Linked DNA regions of Arabidopsis thaliana. The protein of the gene in region 1 interacts with the protein of each later gene in a pairwise test. Each region holds a gene or a part of one and is shown in the gene's direction. Other genes may lie near its edges. The genes, in order: AT5G48360 and AT2G24250.

Region 1 (5,687 bases):
CGTTTTCCTCTAGAAAGGTTGATGGTAACAAATATTAATGCCTCGTTAATCTAAAAGTTGGAGACAGCTATCATCATCATACTTTCGACTCTTTGTAGTCCTCTCTAAAGGTTGTGACTTTTGCAATTCCCTTTCATGTCTATATAAAGACACGTATGTTCAGAATGTTATCTAACACTTACCCTCTTTATTTCAGAGATGTCTTCTTCCATTGTTAAAATCGGAATAGATAGCATCAAAACAACGGTAACTGAAAAAGAGCGAGATATCAACCGTCTTGTGAAGACATTCTTGTCCAACAAAAACAACAGGAAGAAGATCATTGGTCTTGATACCGAACGGGTGCAAAAGGGAAGAAAGCTAAATAAGACCGTCTTGTTGCAGCTCTGCGATGGTGACAATTGTCTAATAGTACAACTTCCCGATGAAGATGAAGATGAAGGTGAAGGTGAAGATGATAATCTGCCACTCCCCCTCTTCAATTTTCTCAATCTACCCGAGTTCACATTTGTGGGCATTGGCATAAACAAGACTATGATGAGGCTTGAGAGTGAGTTTGGTTTGACCTGCAAGAATGTTGTTGAGATTGGACCCGCCACATGGAATCTGACCAATATGACGACCGATGTGAAATTTAGGATCAGTGCTATTGTTTCGACTGAGAGACCATCAAATGCCGTACTTGAGGACTGGGAGAAATTTGTTCTCAATAAGAACCAGATCAAGCTTGCAGCCTCCAATGCATACTTTGCTTTTGGCATTGGGAACATTTTGTTGGATGTTCAGATTTTAAGTTAATGAATCTAGATTTCTGTTTGTCTTTCTTTGTTTTTCTTTCTTATGTTCTTCAGTATCTTGTTGTAGTTTGCATTTCAACCGTTTTAAAGACCACAAAATGTGGTATTTGGTTCTTCATTTTTTTGTTCTTGTTCTCTCTGTTAGACCACAAAGTGTAATATTGGGAAAGTTTTGAGGTTAATTAGACTGCCACAATAAGCGTTCAACTAGCTAGAGTCTGAATGATTGTAGCCACCCTAAACTCTGAGGTCAAGGTAAAGGTATAATATTATTACTACACCACGTGAGCTATTGAACTGGGCCTGATAATTAAAAGTTGATTAGGGCCTATTAGACCACATAACGAAATCTTGAGCCGCTGCTGCTAGGGGGCTGAAGGATGATTAATTAAGTGTTCAACTTGAAGCAATGAAATAGCTTCTGAGAGAAGAGAGAGTTATGAAACTGAAATGATCATCATTTTTTTTCTTGGGACAAATCAGTCATCATCTCTTAATCTTATCTATGTAAAGTGTAACTTTTTTTTGCGGGATTAGTTTCCAATTTGTGATTAATAAAACCCAAATTTTAACTAATGTATAAGAGTTTGGGCTTAGAACCCAAAATAAGTGGGCCTCTATGCATTGTCTACCTTTAGATAGTGAAACTATTTTAGAATAAAATGACAAAGTAGAACTGTACAGTTTTTTGATGTTTTCCATGAAAAAGAAATAAGTTCCATGTATTGGAGAGAAGAGAGTCAGAAAAAAAGAGTCAAAAAGATTCTTTTGAAAGACGGGTAAACTTCGGAGTTCCAAGTAATTATTGCATTTTCATATACGCTCTGTTCCTGGATTCACTAAATCTTATTTGAATACAAATGCATATGTAGCAAATTTAATATTGTAACTATATGTAAAATGTTATTTTACAAAAAAACCTCCAAAGTATTTAGTTTTTGCAAACTTACCCTCCTAATCCTTAAAGTACATGACAATTGACAACTACCCAACCAAAGAAAAAGCTGCAATACAAATACAAGCCTCGGTTATATCGATCATCCAAACATGTGTTTTCTTTTTATTCAAAAACGAAAAGCAAGGAGCATTGTTTGATTGCATGAAAACGAAATTAATAACTCAGATGGTAAGGAAGCTCGTTGTTGACCCTATAGAATACATAGAATGCTTCAAAAAAAAAAAAATTGTAACAAGTGTCGTTCTCTATAGAGAAACAACACAACATAAAATTCTTAAAACGACATTGAGAAAAGGTGTGTATTACTGTTTTTTCCGTTGGTGGTTAGTTAATTGTCATTCATTTTTGGAATATAAACGGTAAACTTTTGCAAAAAGGAATATTACAAGGATTTGTATTGCAAAAACAAAAACACATCAATAGTTACTTCGATAAAAGTAAAAATGGTTGCAGAGTATTATTATTACTCAATAGGCCCTAGCTCAGTCACACAGGTACATCCATAATAGTGCCCCATTAACTTCTTTCACTCTCTTATTGTGTGTTGAACAGTGACAAAGAAAGAGAGAGAGAGCTTTGCTTTGCAGAAAAAAATGCAGAACTTTTGGTTCGCCATCTTCTTCTTCCTGCTAACATGCGCACCACCGTCTCCTTTATCCTACGCATCCACCGTAACTCTCAGCCGTCGTCTCCTCTATGACTATGAATCACCTCTTCCTCTTCCTCTATCCCCCATTAGCCCTCCTTTCTTCCCTCTTGAATCCTCCCCTCCTTCTCCACCTCCTCCTCTTCCGCCTACTCCTCCGACAACTTTCGCCGTCTTTCCAACTTTTCCGGCTAATATCTCCGCCTTAGTCCTCCCTCGCTCCTCTAAACCACACCACACTTCACCTACACTTCTCCTCCCAGCTCTCTCCGCCGTTCTTGTCATTGCTACAGTCATAGGCTTAGCCTTGTTTCTCTACGGCCGCCACCGAGGGCAAACTCGTCATTTAAAGAACTCTCATTGTTCTAGTAGCAACACAAGCAGCTATGGTGATGAACAGAGTCATATCACCACTAACTTCAACATGGCTGCTACTACTTCTCCTTCAGAAGTTTTTTACCTCAATACAGAGGAATCTGACCATATTAGAACCGGAGGTACTTTTTTCTTGAAGCAAGACTCGCCGGAGATACGACCATTACCACCATTACCTCCTCGTAGCTTCCACCATAACAACTATGAAACAGAGGTAAACGAAGAAGACGAAGAAGAAGAAGAAGATGTGTTCTTCTCACCAATGGCTTCTCTCCCTGGCTCAGCGAACTCAAGCCCTTCTCATTCATGCTCTTCCTCCTGCTCCGGTTGGGTTTCTCCAGCTAGGTCATTCTCTATCACCATGTCTCCACCAAACCCTAGATACTCAGACGCCACTAACCTCCAGTCTCCGTCACCGGAGAGACTAAGAGTAAGGAAGAACTATAACGGAAATGGGTCGTCTTCTCTAAGAATGTTTAGCTTCTGGAATCAAAATATGGGATTTGGGTTTCCTCGTATCTCCTCTGCTTCTACTTCACCAGACAGAGGATTCATAAGAACACCACTTTCGTCTCTCTACTCTTCAGTTTCCACTTCTCCTGATGGGTTATTCCGGAAGTTTCTCGATAGTTCGCCGCCGATTTGGAATGACTTTAGTCGGAATGTGAAGTCTGTTTTGCTCTCTCACACTGCGTCATCAAGAAGAGATTTTGTTATCAACATTGGTGAATCTTCTTCTCAACAGAGCAAAGTTCCTGCTCTTCCTCCTCCGACCAGACCACCTCCTCTTGTTCCACCGTCTCAACCTTTTGTGGTTCAAAATGATGTAAAAAAGCAATCTTTTTCAGACCAACCTCCCAAACAGCTGCATTGGGAACGTCTTAGATCGAGCTCTTCTAAGTAAGTGAAGTGAAAGTTTTCTTCTTTCTCTTTGTTTCTACTTTTGTTGATAAGAGTTTAACGAAGTCTATCTTTTCTGACTGTGCTAGATTGAGCAAAGAGATGGTAGAGACTATGTTCATTGCAAACTCGTCAAATCCAAGAGATCTTCCGATTCAAAATCAAGTTTTAGATCCAAGAAAGGCACAGAATATTGCTACTCTGCTTCAACTACTTAACTTAAGCACTAAGGATGTTTGTCAAGCTCTTCTTGATGGTAAAATAATCTTTAATGTATTGCCATTTGTTTTGTTTTGTTTTTGTAATGTTATTGATTTGTGTTCTTTGAGTTATTGATTTAGGTGACTGTGATGTACTTGGAGCTGAACTTCTTGAGTGTTTATCAAGATTAGCACCTAGTAAAGAAGAAGAGAGGAAGTTGAAGAGCTTTAGTGATGGTTCAGAGATTGGTCCAGCTGAGAGGTTTCTTAAGGAATTGCTTCATGTGCCTTTTGTGTTTAAACGTGTTGATGCATTGCTTTTTGTGGCTAATTTCCATTCGGAGATCAAACGTCTCAGAAAATCATTCAGTGTTGTTCAGGTAATGCTGATGATTGCGGATTTACATATTTGTGTCTAATGATGTAATCTTATGTTATGTCTCATTACTCATTAAACTTATCTGCTTTTGCAGGTTGCTTGTGAAGAACTAAGAAATAGTAGAATGTTTTCGATACTTCTTGAAGCTATACTGAAGACAGGAAACATGATGAGTGTTAGAACAAACCGCTGTGGGGATGCGGATGCCTTCAAACTCGACACGCTCCTCAAGCTCGTTGATGTCAAGGGATTAGATGGAAGAAGCAGTCTCTTGCATTTTGTTGTTCAGGAAATGATGAAATCAGAAGGCAGTGTGAGAGCTTTAGAAGGCATCAGAAACCTGAATACAGAACTGAGCAATGTCAAGAAATCGGCAGACATTGAGTATGGTGTACTAAGAAGCAATGTGTCAAGGATTTGCCAAGGACTCAAGAACATTGAAGCGCTTTTGCTACTTAGCGAGGAGAGTGGTTCATATGGAGATCAATGGCTGAAGTTCAAGGAGAGGATGACCCGGTTCTTGAAAACCGCTGCAGAGGAGATTGTGAAGATTAAAATACGAGAAAGTTCAACGCTCTCTGCATTGGAAGAGGTCACAGAGCAGTTCCATGGAGATGCTTCCAAGGAAGGTCACACAATGAGAATCTTCATGATTGTGAGAGACTTCCTGTCTGTTCTAGACCAAGTGTGTAAGGAAATGGGAGACTGATTCCCATTGTAAGATTTTTAATGTAATGATTAGGAACGCATCTCTAGTTTCATTGTATTGTAACCAGTATGACTAACGCCATTTCTGGATAATTCTGTATGAGTTTTTGGAAGACAATTCATTAGGTTTTGATGCTATGATTCTAATTTTGATGCTTTAACATGTTACCCTTACGACAAGCACAAATCAATGAGTTGCACAAGTAAGCCATATCTTTGGTCATATTAGCGAATCGTTTAGATACAGTAGAAATGCATCTACATTTCTAGTTAATTTGTGGTCAGAGGATAAACCTGATAAGCCAGGTCTTTTAAACATAGAAACACCATAACCATTACTGAAGAATTGTGCCTACACATTGTTGTTTGCTTGACTTCAAAGCTTCTGCATCCATGCGCTCGAGGATATGACGAGCTTCTTCCTCTGTGGCAGGAACTACATTTCGAAGTTTAAACCCATTGTTTCTGGCCTTTGCCTCTGGCCTTACAGTGAACTTGAAGTAGAATGTATTTGAAACCTACATCATATGTAACAGAAAAGAGACCTCAAAATTAACATAATGAGCTTCAAATCTGATAAGGTTCAAGAAATTTTGGCATGAAGATAGAATCAGTGAGCAAGTTCAATTTTAACAACCGTTTAAGAAAGCTCCATCATCAAGTTAGAATTTTACCTCACTGGAGCGAATCTCTGGACTTGTAACATGAGCAACAACTTCGATAT
Region 2 (4,506 bases), on another chromosome or scaffold:
TCTCCTGATATTGCTGATGATCAGCTTTCCGATGCTCTTCAATGTTTAGTGAACGTGAAGATCCCAGCATCTATTCCAAAAAAGATCATCCCTTTGGGCCATAAGTACAGAATGATCGGTTGGGAATATAATCGCGCGACTTTTCTTCGGCTAGACAAGGAGGGAAGAAGAGGAGAATTTGTTGTGCTTCTCGAAGTCTCTGACACTTTGCTGGTGTTAACAAGTGCTGAAATGAGGTGGAAGCAGCTTGAGAACGTCCCATATACTATATGCGTTGATATAGTCACTTTTAGAGGCAGATTTTATGCACTTTTTCTTTCAGGACAAATCGTCGTTATCGATCCTTATTCGCTGGAGGTGACTCTTCTGTTGTCCTCACCTCAGGACCCGCGAGAATTACGGTCTCTGGTTCCATATGGCAAAGATGAACTTTTCCTGGTTGAGGTAATCATCCCAAATGATGTTGTAATAGACTTTAGTCGGTTAGCTCGTAGAGTGAGGAGGGTAGATGAGAAGGCTGGTAAATGGGTTGAGGTCGGTGATTTGGGAGACTGTGTATTGTTACTTGGAAATCTCTCTTGCTCGGCTAAGGAATTTCCTCGGGGTTTTGGTTTGACTGAGAACGCAGTTTTGTTCGGCGATCAGTCAGGCAATGCATTTTTATACTATAAACAAAGTGCGGTAAAAGATCTCAAGGGAGAATCGTGTGATGATACTCAACCATTTTTTCCGGTTATGGCTCTCCATGAAGACTGCTAGGCAGTAAAATCCTGCTTTAGAGAAATAAAAACATAAATTCCTATCATATTTTTAGGTATGGATTTTGTGATATCTCATGTTACCCATTGTTGGATCACTGGTATTTAATGTTGAAGTTAAATCTCAGTTCTGAGTTCTTATAACTTTTTTTCGTCATCATGATCTTTTTGAACAATTTGACACTGTCCAAAACTGAAACGTTTAGCCACGATATAGAAACTCTTTTCTTGGTCACTGATCTTTTATTGTGTGCTGCCTTGTGCAGTTTAAAAATCTTGCTACTTGAATGGAACTGGCGCTTGATGACGACGATATGGACTAAATGTAGGAAAACTACATTGCTTTTGACCGTGTAGCTCCCGAAGACTTCCTCAATAAAGCAATGGCTGATTACTCTAGCTCGTTGATATTTCCCTGGAGTCTTTGATTTTTCTCGACGTTTAAGTTAGCTTTTCCATCTTTTTAACATATTATACCGATGTCATTTTGAATGAGAATATAGCTTTTAAGTGGAATAGAGAGGGTAGACATTTGTTTTTTCAAAGTGATGAAAAGAAGTGAACTAGATTCTTTAAAGATCAGAGCATATCCACTGTGGTAGCTCACATACTAATACTGTTACGCCAGAACTTTCCCAGAGAGTGTCAATGAGAAAAGAAAATTCCTTCCAAAAGCTAAAGCTAAGTTCTTGAAATCATCTTTAAAGGAAAATGAAACTTACTTCTATAGTTAGCCTAGGGAGTTTCATTGATGGGGTTACCAAGCTCTGTGTTATTTCATTAATGTTGCGTACTAGCGTTTATTAACCGTTCCAAAAACAAGAACTCACATCACTTTACGAGTTCCTAAGATTCAAACCGATCGAAGATACCTCTTGGCAAATCAGTATCAAAAATATTCTTGGGTACAGAGGAGAGAAACAAGAGTACAAAACAATCAACAGAACGAAGAAAAGAAACATAACAACAACATAATGCAAAAACGACGTCATCTCAAGTCTATCCGAAAACCAAAGTCTTAACCGGCTCATTTGATATAAACCGTCTCAATCCCTTCGGTTCTTTGCTTTCCCAATCAATCCAACCCCAAACCAAATTCGCTCTAAATCTTAACTAGTCTCTATCCCCATTTGTCGACGCTACGAAAGGGCTCTGAAGAATCTGCAGGAAGCTCCAACTTTTTCTCCAAGTTACGGTACTACTACGACCTATCTCTTTAATCCCTGCGAATATTCTATAATGAACTGTGAATTTTCTGTTACCAACTTTTAGTTTTTCCTGTGGCAAATTGATCAAACCCAGAATTGATTATGACCTTTGGAGCTTCAGTGAAATCAATTTTTTCCTGTTGGGTTTTATTTTCCAAGAATGAACTGAGAATTTTCTAAAAATGGAAGAGTTGGATCGTTTCAGCAATTTCATCAAACCCCTAAAAAAAAGTTGTAAATTTTCGAAATTGCAGCAGTAAATTTCTGTGTTCTTCAGCAGCAAGCATGGCAATGAAAAAGAAGATATCAACATCATCGATAATGCCAGACTGGTCTCAGCTCCCTGAAGAGCTACTTCACATTATCTCAACGCATCTAGAGGATCACTATTTCGATGCTGTTCATGCCCGCTCTGTTTGCCGCTCATGGCGATCCACATTTCCATTTCCTTCTTCTCTATTACGCCAAAGTTACTCTCTTCCCGCTTTCCCTTTAGAAAGCAAAGACTTGTGCTGCACCCTGGAGAAGGTCCCTTTGTTCCTCTTTAGAGTTCTAACTCCTCCTGATGCTGCTGATGCTTCCTCCGAATATTTTCTGGGAGGATTAGGCCAAGATAAGTCAAATGATCATGTGGAGCTTCCATCTCCTCTTCAGTGCTCAGTGAAAGTCAATGTTCCAGGAACTGAGCCAATTTTGATGAACATGCTTGACTGCCAGATCATCCCTCTGGGCCATAAGTACAGATTGATGATCGGTTGCAATCCTGAAGAATACAGTGCAGCTTTTCTTCCGCTAAACGAACAAGGAGGAGGAGGCGAATTCGTTGCGCTCCTCGACTGCACTGATTTGTTTTTGGTGTTAAGAAGTACTGAAATGAGATGGATTCGGCTTGAGAAACCCTCAACTGCTTCATGTAAGGAGTTATTCACTTTTAGAGGAAGGTTCTATGCAACTTTCTTTAATGGGGACACGTTCGTTATCGATCCTTCTTCGCTGGAAGCGACTCCCCTAACACCTCATATCGACTCCAACTTTCTGGTTCCATCTGGCAATGAGGAGCTTTTCCTGGTTAAGACAGACTTCCTAAGATGTAGAGTAAGTAGGCTAGATGAGGAGGCTGCTGAATGGGTTGAGGTCAGCGATTTGGGAGACCGTGTTTTGTTTCTTGGTGGACACCTGGGGAATTTCTACTGCTCCGCTAAGGAGCTTCCTCATGGTTGTGGTTTGACTGGGGACTCGATTTTGTTCACCGTTGGGTCACGCAATGTAACTTACCCCTATAAATATGGAGTACATACAAATAAAAGAAAGGCTGAAGACAATATCAATTGTTGGAGATCCTCAAGGGAGAATCGTGTGTTGTTCCGCAACAGATATGATCCGGTCCTGTCTTTCCGGGTTGAACGCTAGGCCGCAAATTCTCACTTCAGACTGTTATTCTGTTTTTATTAGATCAAAGGCTATGTTTTCCTTTGATTTTAAGTCTAGATTTTGTGTACTTGAAAACTCGAACTATACATGATCTCTAGCAAATGTGCAATGGTCTATTGTAGTTAGTCTAGAAAGATTTGTTGGTAACCAGCTATGTTCTTATCAAACTTGTTGCAGGCATAGCAGCAATGTCGTCCCCTTATGCCATACCCTCATACAACTACTATTCTTGCTTTTATTCTGTTAAGAGCTTTTTGATCGTTGTATATTGCTACTACATTTTGGTTTGAAGTAGTGGTGCATGTGTTGCATAGTCCGTAGGTAAAACTGGTCCGAAAGCGGTAAACAGGATCACTTCGTTGTTAGTTTGTATCCTTGGGATAGTGAAGATCTTGACAGTTGGTACGTTTGAGTTTTGTATCAAATTTAAGCCTTTTCTGTGATTCAGGGAAGCTTTCAAGAAAGAAGGTGATAATCAGGAAAACTACATTGCTTTTGACTACTCGAGCTGATTGTACTTGCCTTGAGGGAGTCTTTGATTTTCTCAACGGTTAGGTAAGCTTTTCCATCTTTTTTTTTAACATATCAGATTTCCAATATTCTTGAATGAGAATATAGCTTTTAAGAATGGAAATGGAACAGAGAGGGTAGAGACTGATTTTGCAAAGTGATGGTAAGAAGTGAACTAGATTCTTTAAAGGTCAGAGCTTATCCAATGTGGTAGCTCACATTGTTATGCCACAAACTTTCCCGGAAAGTGTAAATGAGAAAAGAAAATTCCTTCCAAAAACTAAAAGCTAAAATCTTGAATCTTTAAGGAAAAGCGAAATGAAGATATAAACTTTAACTGCCCCCAAAAGACAGTAGCAGTTGCAACCACTCACATGTACTAAGGTAACGAATCCTCAAAAAACCTTAAAGAAGCTGAGGTTGAGATTTTGGACCACCATGGAAACAGCTTAGTAAGTCTAACGAGAATAAAATAAAACACAGCTAATACTAAGAACTCTGTATCGAGTGAAGACCTGGCTATCGTTGATCGGTGTAAGAGACATAAAATCGTATAAAATCGATATCATTTCTTAGTAAGAAGCAACACTTTCTTTGTA

What was found.
Region 2: the proteins of AT5G48360 (region 1) and AT2G24250 interact in a protein complementation assay, tested with the Arabidopsis thaliana proteins (one large-scale study listed by BioGRID).

The regions. Positions count from the first base shown.
Region 1 is NC_003076.8:19,593,368-19,599,054, forward strand, and holds AT5G48360 (Actin-binding FH2 (formin homology 2) family protein), read left to right. Parts: upstream 1-2,168; 5' UTR 2,169-2,348; coding exon 2,349-3,676; intron 3,677-3,765; coding exon 3,766-3,932; intron 3,933-4,017; coding exon 4,018-4,256; intron 4,257-4,349; coding exon 4,350-4,964; 3' UTR 4,965-5,125; downstream 5,126-5,687. Other genes in the region: AT5G48350 (Polynucleotidyl transferase, ribonuclease H-like superfamily protein), read left to right, coding at 199-798; AT5G48370 (Thioesterase/thiol ester dehydrase-isomerase superfamily protein), read right to left, coding at 5,299-5,481, 5,638-5,687. UniProt on the Arabidopsis thaliana protein: Might be involved in the organization and polarity of the actin cytoskeleton.
Region 2 is NC_003071.7:10,312,306-10,316,811, reverse strand, and holds AT2G24250 (LOW protein: F-box/kelch-repeat protein (DUF295)), read left to right. Parts: upstream 1-1,831; 5' UTR 1,832-1,953; intron 1,954-2,220; 5' UTR 2,221-2,251; coding exon 2,252-3,376; 3' UTR 3,377-3,746; downstream 3,747-4,506. Other genes in the region: AT2G24255 (LOW protein: F-box/kelch-repeat protein), read left to right, coding at 1-759.